2 linked regions of the Alligator mississippiensis genome follow. The protein of the gene in region 1 purifies or fractionates together with the protein of each later gene. This does not show direct contact. Links are inferred from orthologs where the notes say so. Each region holds a gene or a part of one and is shown in the gene's direction. Other genes may lie near its edges.

Region 1 (7,702 bases):
ATTAGCATGCTTACATGGGCAACTGGTGCCACCTTAGTCAGGGGAGGTACATGCCCCCACAGCAACAGTCGGGGCCGATCACGAGGTGGCCGATCAATCACTGCGGCCTCTTCTGGGAGTGTCACTCCCCAGCTGGCACTTGCAGGGTGGGCACTGGAACTCCTGCCTGCCCCCTGCCCTTCATCTAAGTGGTGAGTGTGGCTGGTCAGGGGGTGCACCAGCGCTCTCAGGGGGTGCACATGCACCCCTGTGCATCCCCTACACATCGCCACTGCATGCTCCCATATAGGCTGGAGTAAACTAATTTACTCTGCAGCAGGATAGTACTAGAAAAAAACTCCACAGCAGTGGAAAGACTCTACACTTGCTGGCTGGGGCATGAGGGTGCTTCAGCATGGGAGCTGCCTGCCAGCTAGCTCTGCACTGAAGCAGCTTTGTGCCCCAGCCAGCCCTTCCACAGTAGGCTGAGCACAGGGGAGCAGCAGTCCTGGGCTGGCAGGCTAATCCCTTGGATCCCCTGCCAGACAGGGCTGTTCCAACCCAGTTCAACATGCTGTGGTCCTGGGTGAATGTTCAAATGGCAATAAACTCCATAGTTTATTGCTTTGCATTACTTACATGTGTAGATATGCCCTGTGATTCTGAATTGTCTATGATTCTATAAACCACATGGGAGTCTAATATAAAACCTGTCAATTCCCATCCTTGTAGCAGAAGGAGTACGCATCAACTTTAGCATTCCAATCATATGATCCACCTCACCACATTTTAGTAAAAATATGAAAACCATTTCATATTTCTTTTCACATTTGAACATCTCCAACTCCTCTTATAACCTAAGTTCCTAGTATTAATACATAGATAAAATACATGTTCCTTACCTATTCATGTGCGCTCAGATTTCCTGTGTGATACTTTGGGGCTTATTTACACATTTGAATGGTTTCATTCCTGTTTAGTGTTAGTTTAAAGCTCTGCCAGCTAGTCTACTTAGTTTATCACTCAAGTTATTGGTAGCCCCATTACTGAGGTGGAAGACATCAGAATAATGCAATCCCCCCTTTTTCCATACTAAGCACCTCAATATTCCTCTCTCACTGTAATGTTCCACAAGACAAAATCTTCCTCATGCTACTTACCTGACCACTTATTCACTGCCAGCATCCTTGCTGCTGAGGTGAAACTGTACCTCTATGGGTGGGTCTACATGAGACACCATGTTGTTGTAATGATGAGCTACTGTGCAGTAGCTTGTTGCTACAGCACAGTAGTGTCAGAAATGACCCGTGCAGTGTCAGGATTGCGCAGTAACATTGGTTACTACGCAGTCATTTAGTACTTGCTCAAGCAAGTACTAAACTGTGCAGAAACAACTGTGCAATCCAGCGCACATGTAGACGCATGCTGTATGAAGGAAAGCCTCCAAACTCCCTCCCACAAACTCCCAAGGAAATTCTACTCCTTGAAACTTGAAGAAGCCATTTTCAAGGTGGTGTGGCAGTAAGGTGCATGGTTGATAGCCCAGAGGTTGCACGTTCTAGATTATAGCAGAAGTGTTCACAGAGCAGCCATGTCACATCCCAATGAGTCTGTGAGTTCTGGTAAATACCTTGTCACAGGGACATGGGAAGGCAAGGAGGACCCCAGAAACTCCATTCTCTCCCATAAGCAGCAGTATGTGCTTGCATGCCTTAGACATATTGCTGAGTGGGTGTCTGAAAATCTGGGCATTTTTAACTGCGTGTCTGCCCACATGAATTTTCAGTGAGCATGTTTAAATGACTAATTTTACTACTGAAATGAAGAAGGTAAGAATTGCACAGAATTGCACATGGAAACATCAAAATCAAAATGTTTAATTCTGAAAATGCTGACTGGTCTGTAGCACTCAGCCTCACACTACAGCCCTTTTGCCCCCTACAAACCAGACTGATGCCGCTTGCAATATATTCTGACACTCGAGTAGGAGCTATAGATTATTGCTGACCCAACAACAGGAGTAAGTGAAGCCCAATATGTTTCAGTTATTTGTGTATAACCCAGAGCTACTAACATTTGCTTCATGGCATTCCTGCAATTACCAAAACCTGAGTTCAATCTGTCTGAAAGTATGAGGAGCTCATTCTTGCTGATAACAGTGCAGGGAAAAGTTCAATTGGGATTTCTGGGGGAAAAAAAGTAAAGAGGAGATGCTTATCCCAGCCTGGGAAAGGCTTTGTTAGTTGTGTGTCCACCCATTGCTAAAGGGCATTCTGATTCCATCCTTGGTGTGCCATGCACTTCTCATTTGTGCAAGACAGGCTAACGATTGTTTAGTAGGAAAGCCAACCACTCTCCTTCTAGCCTCTCTCTCTATGTATGCCTCTCTTTGTGTTGATAGATGTATGATAATTATATATTAATAGAGTAAATTTAACCCTGGTGTGAGGTCTGATAGATTGCTGCAAATGTGGCCAAAATGTACAGTAATTCAGACTGATCCAAAGAGTGTGAATCATAGAATACTAATCAAAGGAAAGTTGGGCTAGAAGAGACCTCCACAGGTCACATCTAGTCCAATCCCCTGCCTGAGACCATTCCTATGCAAACCATTGAATACAAATCCATACTCTAATCTCTTAGTAAAACTTCTGTCAACCCTGACACACAAGTGCTTACGTTTCAATATCTATTTAATATTGGATCAATTTTCCATCTTCAGATGAGCTTAAATTGTATCCTCCCTCACGTGTGCGGACTTACTCAGAATAGTGTTATTCATGCAATGGTGCTTCTAAAGGTGAGCATGCAGCAGCCTGGACTCTGAAGTAGAATTTGAATGAGACACTTGTGTGCCAGGAGAGGCAGCGAAGAAAATACTATTTACAGTGACACGGTCACATGTTAAGGACAAAAAATATTCAGGAACATGAACATCTTGTGCCTCCTGTGGCTGGGAGGGACATGGCGACCGCCCGCAGGTGGCAGCCGCGGTGGCAGGGATGCAACAGCAGTGAGCAGGGACCGTCCACAGGCAGCCGTGGTGATGTTGGTGGTGAGGGTGGGCCGAGCAGGGACCATCTACAGGAGGCCATGGTGGTGTCGGTGGCAAAGGGGGAATGGTGAGAGCCAGTGGCAATCAGCAACTGTCCGCAAATGCCACTGGCAGTGGAGGGGGGGGGACAGGGGTAGCAAGTGGTGGCCACTCGCAGGCACCGCCTGCAGCATCGGTGGTGGCCTCTCAGTGGGGTGCACATGCACCTGCATGCACCCCTTACACATCATCAATGTTCAGGAACACAGGAGTGGAAAGGGACTCATGGGCCATCAAGCCCAGTCCCTGACAATGATTGCATGCCCTTGCAATCCCTCAAAAAACCACTTGAACCTCATGTTTCAGGGGTGTACTTGGTAGCCGTGTTGGTCTGAGACAAAAAGACATACAAAAAACTAGAACTCTTGGTTCCAAGAATTCTTGAACCAATTCTTGGAACCAAGAGCTCTAGTTTTGTGTATGTCTTTGAGGTCTCATGCACATTTGTGCACTGCTAAATGACAGCAGTGTCCTAGGGAGTGTTGAGGTGCTGTTGTTGCTGTGATGATGAAGGAAAACAGCCAGAGGCTGCAAGTCTTGGGTAGCAGGATCATACAAAGCGAGGGTTGGAAAGGGCCTCAGGTCATCTAGTGCTAGTCTAACCCCTGCTCAAAGCAGGACCATCCCCAACCAGATCCTCCCAGCCAAGGCTTTGTCTAGCTGGGTCTGAACAACCTCCAAGGATGGACAGTTCGGAACCTCTCTGGGCAACCTGTTTCAGTGCTTTACTACCGCCCCGAGAGTTTTTTCCTAATATCTAACCTAAACTCCCCTTCCTGCAACTTGAGCCCGTTGCTCTGTGTTCTGCTACCTGCCACCACTGACAACAGTCTAGCTCCATCCTCTTTATAACCCCGCTTCAGGTAGTTGAAAGCTGTTATTACATCCCTCCTCAGCCACCTTCTCTCCAGATGAAATAAGCCCAGCTCCCTCAGCCTCTCCTCACAAGTCATGTGTCCCAGCCCCCTCGCCATTTTCCTTGCCCTCCACGGGTCTCTCTCCAATGTGTCTGGTATCTCAGGCTGGGCTGTCCCATCCACACTTGTTAAAACAGGACCTCTGAGGCTCTGATGGCAGTTTTCAAGCCCGGGGGCCTGTCCTTGCTCGGTCTCCCTCAGACACAACCAGGCACCCCCTGGCGCAAGCAGGTGCCCCTGGCAGCGTCCCCAGCTCCGTGTGAATCTACTCCGGGAGGTTTCGTCACAGGATGTAACGACATTAATGACTGATCTACTGTCCTGTACTCAGCAAGGCATTACTATTACATTGAAAAAACCCACTGCACTCCTGCATAAATTAGATTCAACATTTAATATTTATTTCAATTTGAAAGAATGCCCGATCTATCCCTGGCCCCTCAAGCAGTCGCCTGGAGACGTATCTATTTCCGGCACGCTCCAGGTCACCCCGTCCGCGGCCGCGAAAGGCCAACACCCCGCGGCGCCCGCGCAGGCGCAACCGGTCACAGGCCACCCCCGCCGGGGGGAGGGGCGCTGAGGCCGCCCGGCTCCATCCCGCCCCGCCCCCCAAGCCCCGCGGTGCGCATGCGCCTTCCCGCCCCGCAGTGCGCATGCGCCTTCCCGCGCCCTCCATTGGCCGGCGACGGCCCCGCCCCGCGGCGCAGGGAGCGCGCGGCTCCGCCCTGCCGCGCAGAGGGAGGCGCCCGGCGGTCGCTGCCGGACGGGAAGATGGCGGACCTGGACGAGCAGCTGTCGGACGAGGAGAAGGTGAGGCGGCCCCGCCCGGCCCCCCCCGCTGCAACCCCAGCCCGCGACGGCGCCTGGCAGTTGGCGGGGCCGGACCGGGGCCTGCGGGCGCGGGGCGGCGAGCGGCGGCCCCGGCCCGGGGACCTCTCCGCGCCGCTCCTTGTACGGTCCGAGCGCCGAAAATAGGAGCCGCCGCGGGGGAGGGGGCCTTGGGCGCTCAGCCTCGCCCTTCCGGGTCTCTGCCGCCCCGCCCCGCCCCCGGAGTCGCCAGGGGGCCCTCCCCCGGTGCTGGGTGAAGGAGCGGCCCCGGGCAGGTGAAGGGGCGCGGCCCGGGGCCGTGTGGGCAGGGCGAAGGGAAGCAACACGCTAGGAAGGGAGCTCGGTGCCCGGCTCTGGGTGCCGCCGCCCTTGCCCACAGGGCTGCTGTGGCGCGAGAGTTGCCCCGGAGATGCCCCTGGGAGGAGGGGCGGCTGCAGAGCCCGGCCGTGCCGCCGTTTCCTCCCTCTGCTCACCGCTAATGCTCCGGGACCAGGGTGTGGTGGTGGTGGTGCTGGTGTGTGTGCAGCGCGGGGATGCACTTCACCTAATTCTTCTCCTCTGGGTTTCTCCCTTTTTTTGTTTTGGATGGAAAGGTCAGTTTAGGGGGCTGCTGAACCTGTGGAGATGATTCAGATGTGAGAGAGAATAAATGAAGCTTCAGATATCTTTGACATGAGGGTGGGGGTTAACATGCCTTCATGTTCACTGTAGCCAGGGAGTCCCTCCATGTTTGCAGCACTGAGTTGCAGATCAGGGAGCTGAACGAAAAATGCTTCCAGTACTTGGTTGTTGGTTGAGAGCTCATAGCAGCAGTCTCCCAATGCCTGAAGAAGGGTGTTTGTGCCCCAAAAGCTTGCAAATAATTTTTTTTCCAACTATTAAGTTGGTCTAACAAAAAATATCACCCCTACCCTAAGACTCTTGCCTCTGTTGGAGCACCCACAGTGACCTGGGAAGAGCCTGTAAAGTGTTAGTTTGCCCTGGTAGAAGGTATTTAGTTAGTATGTCAAAGGGTAAACTAAATAAAAAATAAGCCTCAGCATTTACGCTGCTAAAAAGTATTTGCCACTATACTTATTAATACACATTGCTGCTGCTTTGCACTGACTCCAACCTATCACTTCTGCCCCCTTTTCCAGCTCATGCCACATAATGGTGTTTCTCTGAGTTTCTCTTTCCCTTGTCACCAATCTGATGAAGTTCTGGGCTTGCTTTTTTCCAAAAACATTCTGTTTTTTTCTTTTCCCAAACAAACTCTTGATTCTCCAGGCTTGTAAAATCAACATCTACACCTCAGTGCTGCAAGTGAACACTGGGCACCATTGTAGGTCTGGGGGCACCGTGGAGCTTAATGACCTGCAGGAAGCCTTCCATTTCCCAGTACTTTTTTTTTTTTCCATGGGGCATGTGTACTTGTCCCAGTTACAGTTCAAGTTGCTTTGTGGTGCTTTTTCCACACACACCTTCCCATTTGAAGTGCTAAAAGCTTAGAGCCTCCCTACTTCCTATCTTCCCCCCTTCTCCCCCCACCTGTGCTAAAAAGAAGTAGGAGCATTAGAATTGTTTTCTTTTCCCCTTCTCTTCCATCAAGAACGGAGCCATTGATTCTTTTATCCAGTTCAATCCTGCAAAAAAATTTGGATTTTCTTGTGTAGCTGGATTTTACCCAACACTGGCAGCATATATATTGGGAAATAAGACATTTGTAAGTCCTTTATACAAGACAGGCTGATGTGACTGAAGTTCTGTAACTCAGATGTTCTCAGCCTTTGCAGTGGAGATGCATCTACCATCCAGGGCATATCAAAGTGCAAAGGTGTTTGAGGTATAATCAAATATTTTCTGATTGAACTGCACTTATGCTTTCAAAAGCAAGTGTCCAAGGTGTGCTATCTTTGATGAGGAAATGTGTGCCACTTGTGAAGCTTTCATCTACGGCTATATTATCATGTTTGGATGACTGTGTTTAGGGAGGATTTAACTAAATCCACATTTGCCCCTTACACCAGGATATATGAGGGTTTTTTCCCCTTGATAAAGTTGGGAGTATATTTTTAAATCGGTAACTTGTTCAAGTAGAACTTTTCTACTGTTTGACGCACTCCCCTTAATTATCATTGTATAAATCATTCAGAAGCAGGTTCTCTTATGTGTGGAGCTCTTTAACTAAATTTCTTCTAGAACGTCTTATGTCTCTGTTGCACTTCTTAATGATGTCAGAATTTGCATTCTTTTTTCAAGCTAAAATATGGCCCAGCACAGCTTCAAACTAGTTTAGCATGCTGAGTAAATCATTGATAGAGCTGTGATTTTTGTAACAATAATTCTTAATTTACCAGCAGTTATACACATGAAGAAAAATACCCATATTTGCAGAAAAGCTACTGTCTGCTACACTTTTAAAAATAAACAATTACTCTAAGTGGTTTCCCCACTGCAGAGTAATACTTCTGAGAGTTATAATTTGGAGAACTAATGCCATCATTTTTTCCCATAGGCCAGTATCCCTTTCTGAACTACGTCTTCCCTCATGTTATGCATTATCCCCCCTAATGAAGTGGGAAGATGTAGCACAAGAGTTTTTCTTTCTCTGTTTTCCATAGTAATGGCCTTGACCACATCAGTGCCTTTAATCATAGAGATAACACAGTTCAAAAACACACCCTTTTTGCCCTCTTAAGACGGGGCCATGGGGTGGTATAGAAAGGAGAAATGTACTAACATTGGCCAGAAATAGATGGTACCAGTGGCACTCTCCTACACTGATGCAGGGCCTGTAGTAGTCGTGCTGGTGATTCTGGTGGTCTAATGGAAGAGGCAGTGTTGGCAGAACTATAGACATAATCCTAATGAGAGAACTGAAATTCAGGGAAGGAAGCAGTAC
Region 2 (7,174 bases), on another chromosome or scaffold:
TCATGTAGAGCTGTGCAAATAATGGATTTATTCTTTTGTTGAGGGGATGGGGATCCTGGCCAAAAGACTTCAATTACTTGTTTGGTTTTAGACTAACCCAGAACTTTTTGTTTTAACATTTTGATTATTTTCATTTTGGGTCCAAAATTTAATTCTTAGTTTTACTTTTAAAATACTTTTAATTAAAAAAAAAAAAGTGAATAAAATTTAGGAACTAAGCACTTTAAATTTAGAGACTCAATCACATCTTTTTTTACCCAAAACAATTTGCATATTTGATATTTGAAATCAGCATGAATCCAAGACTGCATTTTTTTTTTTTTTTATCAGAAATGTTTAATAATTTTGCCCTGTTCTTGCTTTTCTCCACCAGGAAACTAGTCTCTTCTTTCTACTACTGTGGCTTTTAATCCTGTCTTTCAAAAAGAGCTGATTTCGGAGCAGACCCATTCTCTTAGTTTCTTAGGATGGGATACTAATGCAGTCACAGATTACACAGAACAGCACATTGGCTAGGGGCAGACATTACACATAAACCAACTTAAGTGATCAGAAACTGATTTAAACCTGTAACAGAACAGACTTTCAGTGCACATAAACCAGTTTGAAAATGGCTGAAACTGGTTTGAGATGAACCTGGTTGAATGTAGTATCAGACTTAACTGATTTGGCTCAAACCGCTTTATGCAATGTCTGTCCCAGACTCCTTGCTGTTTTAAGTTTAAATCAGATTCCCCCAGCATCCTTGCATGCTCTTTGGCTGGGCAGGGCACTCTGCTCCACAGTGGGGCTGGCCCCTCCCCTCTGCTCCCTGTCTGGAGCTCTGGCAGAAACTTGCAGGCACAGCCGGGTCTGCTGGCTCCCCCAGGCCCTCTTCTCCCTCCACCCCCCCCCCCAACAGGAATCCCTTCCTCCTCTTTCCCGCAGCACAGACCATAGCCAGCATGTGTTATGCTAACTAATGCTGAGACGTGTCTGTGTAAGGCAGATAGGACAGTGTCTGCTTAGGGATTTTTGGAGTTAATCAACAGGTCAGCTGGTAAGGTTCCTGCATTCCTTCCTTTGGAAAAAGCTGTATAAGAAAAACCTGAACTAATGAGCGAGGCTTTGTTTTCTGGTGGGGTGCTAAACGCTGATAACAGCTGATAAATGCTCTGTTATCAAAAGCGTCCTGTCCTGGCCCCCTCAGCTCAGCTCACTGGAAGGGAAGGGAGAGATGCTTTAGCACACCCAGCCTTCTAGGCTGAGCTACTGCAGGCATGTGCCTGCATTTTTTTTTCAGTCCAGAGGGGATGACTGTATAGTTACAAACTGATTTAGCCTAGCCAGGTTAGACTAACCTGCAAAGATTGAATCAATTTAGGCTCAGGCTTTTTGAATGTCTGACCCTAGCCATTAGAGCCCATAGGTTCTAAAGTTAGTCCATAGGAAACATATTTCAATTATGTTCTCGTATCGTTTTTTGTTGTACCAGCAGGTGCCTGTAGAATAGACATATGCCCAGGGTGGGTACAGTTGACTGAGTTCTTCCTAAATAAAACTCACATGGAAGATTTGAAGACTTTCTATGCAGTAACAAATACTGGATAAAAAAGCTAAAAAGACTAGAAAGTCCTCCACATTTAGGTTCCTGTCTTGATGGGCAAGACATGCATGCTTGTCTAAAAAGGATTGTGTCCATGAAAAGCAGGGATGAATGAATAATTGCATTAAGGTCACTAGTTTTATGTGAAATGGAACCAAGTAAGGGATAAAGACTATATAGAGAACGCCTATAGAACATTACACTACCTGGTCTTCAAACTGAGTAGGATTAAACAGGAGGCTTAAGGTCAAGGGAGCAAAGGGGGTCCAAAGCATCAACTCCTTTGACCAGGAGATTTTACTTGCTGGATCAGAGGCTTAATTACATGTTCCATATGATCCACTGTTCCATCCTAGGCAACTTTGTACTGCTGAAACCATAGCTAATTTGGCATTCCAATCAGAGGTGACCAAAAAATTGGGGGCAGTAACTCACAAAAATATAGAACATGTATTATCTATTACAACAACACATCAGAATGACAAGCAATGGTTTTGGTGATGTGGGTAGGTATAACTACTGCTCCATGGCAGATTTATCCTCCTACTGCCCCCTTCTTTTGGACTAAATTTTGTACTGGACACTCCTGGGTTTACACCTTAAATGCTATCTTTCCTGATGATGGTTTCTCAGGGCCTTCAGGCATTTCCAGTCATGGCTCAGGGTCCTGTTGTGCTAGGTGTTATGTAGGTACATACATAAGAGATGATCACTGGTCCAAAGTATTTACCAGTGAAATGGGCAAATGGCAGTACGTCTGTATGTTTATAAGTAAGCATTGTTAGCAATCCTGCCTGCGATTTTGACTGTCTTTGGTATTAAAGATTTAAATCCTCTTGGCTAGGGACAGACATTCAAAAAAGCCTGAGCCTGATTCAGTCTTTTCAGATTAGTCTAACCTGGCTAGGCTAAACTGGTTTGTAACTGCGCAGACATCCGAGAAATGCAGGCACATGCCTGCAGTGGCTCAGGCTACAAGCTGGGGATGCTAGAGCAGCCCTCTTGTCCCTTCCACAGCATTGACCTGGGGGGTGGGGGTGGGGAGGGCATGGTCAGACCCTGGGAGGATGCTTTGATTAGCCCAGCAAGGAATTGATTACAATGGTTATCACCCCTTAACTCAGTGTTTATCACCCCATTAAGAAAACAACAGAGGGACATTATCAGCTGCCTGTTGATTCAGCAGGGACTGTAGCCAGCATGTGGTCCTCTAGCTAACGCATAGACAGCTCCCTGCAAGGCAGAGTGGAGGAGGGGAATTCCTTCTTAGCAGGGACTGGTGAGGAGGAGTGGGGAGCAGCCTGCAGTCTGTGCTGGAGCTCCAGCCAAGGGAGCAGAGGGTAAGGGCCAGCCCTGCTGTGGAGCAGAGAGCCCTGCCCAGCTCAGAGAGCATGCTGGGTGTCTGGTTTATATTAAACCAGCAAGGGGTCTAGGACAGATGTTGCATAAACCGGTTTGAGCCAAATAAGTTAAGTCTGATACTACATTCAACCCAGGTTTATCTCAAACCGGTTTTAGCCATTTTCAAACTGGTTTATGTGCACTGAAAATCTGTTCTGTTACAGGTTTAAACCAGTTTCTGATCACTTAAACCAGGTGAATGTGTAATGTCTGTCCCTAGCTCTTGAGTGGAGGAAGAGGGGAAAGAGACTATAATAGTTGAGCAATTATTGCTGTTGGCTGTCTTGTATTCAAGTGCGTGGACTGATTTCTGTTACAGCCATTTTAAAACCTCTTTGTCATGCCTTTGGTTAGTTTGTTCTACTCCTTAGATGATCAGATGCGTCCGATTTGTAGAGCTGTGCGATAACCATCCATTTAGAAGAAGTCCTTTTAGACGTTCAGAAGGGAGTCTAAAGGATTCCATCTGTCTCCATTGCTTGTTTGAATCCATAATCTGAAGCTCTAGCCCAAACTAGACATAGAGGTAGACTTTACTTGTCAGATAAATTGTTCTTATAATTTTACACCTTCTGTCTCGCATTAAAATACTTTGAGTCCTGGTATCTGTTCTTAAATCCCTGCCCCCTAGTTAGTAATTTTGCTCAGATGTTGTTCATAAATCTTTACTGCTTTAGGGTGTGTTCCTTTTTGGCCTAATAGTTGGGCAAATGATGCAGCATTTGTTTAGCATAATGATATGATTAACAGTGTCAGTCCTCTGGTACCCTGAATGCTGTTTTTTGCTTTGTTAGGTAGTGTTTGCAATTTATTCTGATTGATTAGAGATATGAAGGAATTAATCGTCTTTTGGAGAAAATATCTTTCTATATAGATTATTCTTGCTGCAATCTTCTCACTGGAATATAATTTGTGATTTGGCTGGAGCTTTGAAGTGGTAATATTACAAATCTCCCAATCACCATGGTCCAATCTGTTCTAGCATTCATGTGCCTAATTTCTGCTTGTAATCTGATTACTGGCTTGAGCTGCTTCAGTTTGCAGCCTATTGCTATGCATTAACTGTACTCCCCGGGACGCACTAGCCTGACAGCTCCAGTCCTGTGCAATGAAAAATCTCTACACAATATTGCTTAGACAGGCCTAGGGCTGTGGCTGGTTGAGAATTAGCTGCTATTGTAGTTTCTCTTTGCTGAATCCTTTGTTTGTGCAACCATGTTCAGAAATCCTTGGATCTCCAGCTATTTGGGAAATGTTAAATACTCTGAGGAGCAAGGTAAGAGTTCAAAGTGGATAGACAAAGAATGCCGTTTGATTTTTATTCTTTTGTTATAATATATAATAAAAAATAATATGCATGCTGTTTTAGTCTTCCTTAGAAACATTTGTTACTTTAGTATTCACTATTCAGTTAGCCATTTAGTCTGTTTTATTGCTTCCTCAAAGGACACTTTTCAAAAATCTGATTAGATGGATTTTCTAATTAGCTTATCTTGCAGCTGATGTAAGGTCTGTAAATATACTCACAAAGGAAGGTAGTGCCTAGATTTTCCTTATTAATGTTTTAACTGGTATGTATCTAAGTGTGTCTATGTGCTTACCTCATAGTTTGTACCCTGAAATGGGAATACACAGAATGGTTAAACTTATGAACAAGTTCATAATTTACTACTTCAGTATTTTGAACGGTAAATAGGAATACTGAAACTAGTTCTGCTGTGGTTATAAGTGTGTTTATGGTTTGTCTGTGAATGAAGGAACAAAATATTATTACATTGCCATGGTTCCCATTTTGTGTGTCAGGTGATATGTGTTTTTTTGATTAATCATTGAAATAAAGCCATGTTAAAATATTTTTTCTTTACACCCAATTATTCCTCCCAGGAACCATAATTTCTTTATCTACCCTTTCATGTTTGAATCTAACTTCTTAATTTTAAGGTGCACTAGATGCTGATAATGCAGTAAGTTGCCTTTTTATCATGCTTTGAGAAGCACGAGAATGAATTGAGGCAGGGGTATTAACAACTGCATGATGATCAACTTTTTGTGGGAGCAGGTGAGTATGCCTTATGAAAGGCAGCGCAGTTTGAAATGTTCCGGGAGCTCTCAGTGTGAGACAGCAGGACATGTCCCATTGTCAGTGAAGAGTCAGAATAGTACACATAGCCCTCCCCTGTGAACCACTTCCTCTCCTTCTCTAAATCTTAAATTGTGGAAGCTTTTCTCCCCCTTTTTGGCTAATGTGGGTAAGAATATTACTGTGGCCCATTTGTGGGTTCAGCTGTTTCAGTGCCAAAAACTGTAATATAGGTTATTCCTTTAGAATGGTTATAAATCTTACACATGTCTGGTTTTGATTAACCAAACTCATACTGTGTTCAGTTTTTTGTGGAGAATTATTACTTGCTATTCTCACAGTAATATAAATCTGGCTTTTTAGAAAATGTTTGACAGGGAGTATTTTTTTTAAACTATTAGGGTAATGATTTGTAAACCCTTCATAAAGCTTTGTCTTAGTATGTTGTTGTGGTCTTGTAAAATGCCTCTGCTGCGTGATTAGTGAGGTCTATTTTCCATTTAGTTGAAAAGAAACAATGTCAACAAAAAACAGGAAAAGGGCATATTTTAAACTAGAAGAAAGCTGCTTCCTTGTTAGCAAATTTGCTTAAAACACTGAGTTGTTTCACCACTTTAAAGAACAAAGTAATTGGTTAGGCATTTTTTTGCCTCCTTAATTCTTCTAAAGTTGTCTCCTATAAAACTTCTTGCCATATGGAAGGAGAGAATGAGAGCAGTACGGGCAGAAGAGACCTTTTGAAATATGGCCCTTGATAACCAGTCACATTAAACCTAATTATCTTTCTTCCAATACCTTTGCTTATATCAAAGATTCATCTAACTTGTAAAGTAACTGGTCAGGCACATCTTACACCCCAGCACAGTTCAATGACAGTAAAATTTGGCTATATCACATCTACATTAATTGTAAACTGTGCCCTTGAATTGTTTTAATGCTTGTTCATGTAGCAATCAGGTCCTACCTACACTGGGAAATGAAATCTGCTCATCCCTGTCAAGAAACAACCATGTTGTAATTTGGTCTCTTAACCACTGACATCACTTTGCAGGAAGGACCCAGACTCTTCCCTGCCCCCTCCTCCAACCAGGAGTAACTCATGGTATCCTCATTTTTTTGTTTATTTTAAATAACTGCTAATGGCTCATTTCTAGCACAATTTGCTTAGCCACATTTCCTCAATAGTCTGTTAACCATATCAGACTATTGACTACATCTACAGCATGGGTCTCTATAAAGGCTTTGTGTGTTATAAAATGGGTAGACATATCTTTTTAACACTCTTGCATGTAACAGTTTGTTCCCAGACAAACACGAACCAAGGGTGGAATGTATCCATCTCCAGAAATAAATTGAACCTGGTCACTTATTGAGAAATTGTGGTCATTTCCAAATGCTTGGGGGAGCTTGGAGTAATATTTTGGGACATAAGAATCGAATATGTTGTTGCATTAAATAAGTATTTGAGCACATCTTGGTATTTACTGTATACATGTAGATTTTATTAAAATTTGCCTTTGACCAAATCTTGTCACTTTTAGCACTTCTCATGTTTTGTCAAGATTAACTAATTCAGTGCTGTTAGGAATCAACCTGCAGGAAACTGAGTCAAAGATTTTAAATGATTTCCCAAGTTTCACAGAGAATGATATAACCAAAATCAGGATTAGAAGTAAAGAGTTCCTGGCTTCAGCTCTTCTGCGTGTAAAAAAAAAAAAAAAAAAAAAAAAAAAAAAAAATCTGTATATCTCACTTTCACAAACTACATTAAAAAACTTAATGGAACATCCAGTGCATCTACTTTTTTTTCTCAAGACTTTAATTTACCATTGTTTGGTATTTATGTGCATTTATTCAACTGTTGAAGTTAGATGTCATCTTTCCCCCAAAGTCCAGCACTGGAAACAATGATACAACTGTTTAAATCTTGCATGTTCACTGGATGTTTTCTTGTATTTTTTTGTCCTTAGATTTTGACAAAGAAAATTCAGTCAGATTTAGACCCTCAAGACTACTCCATAGAAGGAGGGCACAAAGGTAAAAGACTTTAAAATTCCTATCTGGCACTGTGGCCAATGCCTTGATTATTAAGCTTTATATATATATTT

What was found.
Region 2: the proteins of CAPZA2 (region 1) and SVIL purify together in Homo sapiens (affinity purification with mass spectrometry; 3 studies listed by BioGRID and IntAct, counting the BioPlex papers as one, with this or other methods). This does not show direct contact. The link is inferred for Alligator mississippiensis from reciprocal best matches to the Homo sapiens genes CAPZA2 and SVIL.

The regions. Positions count from the first base shown.
Region 1 is NC_081827.1:49,190,349-49,198,050, reverse strand, and holds the start of CAPZA2 (F-actin-capping protein subunit alpha-2), read left to right. Parts: upstream 1-4,691; 5' UTR 4,692-4,761; coding exon 4,762-4,800; intron 4,801-7,702. UniProt on the Homo sapiens protein: F-actin-capping proteins bind in a Ca(2+)-independent manner to the fast growing ends of actin filaments (barbed end) thereby blocking the exchange of subunits at these ends.
Region 2 is NC_081828.1:191,846,449-191,853,622, forward strand, and holds the start of SVIL (supervillin), read left to right. Parts: upstream 1-4,155; 5' UTR 4,156-4,201; coding exon 4,202-4,262; intron 4,263-7,036; coding exon 7,037-7,103; intron 7,104-7,174.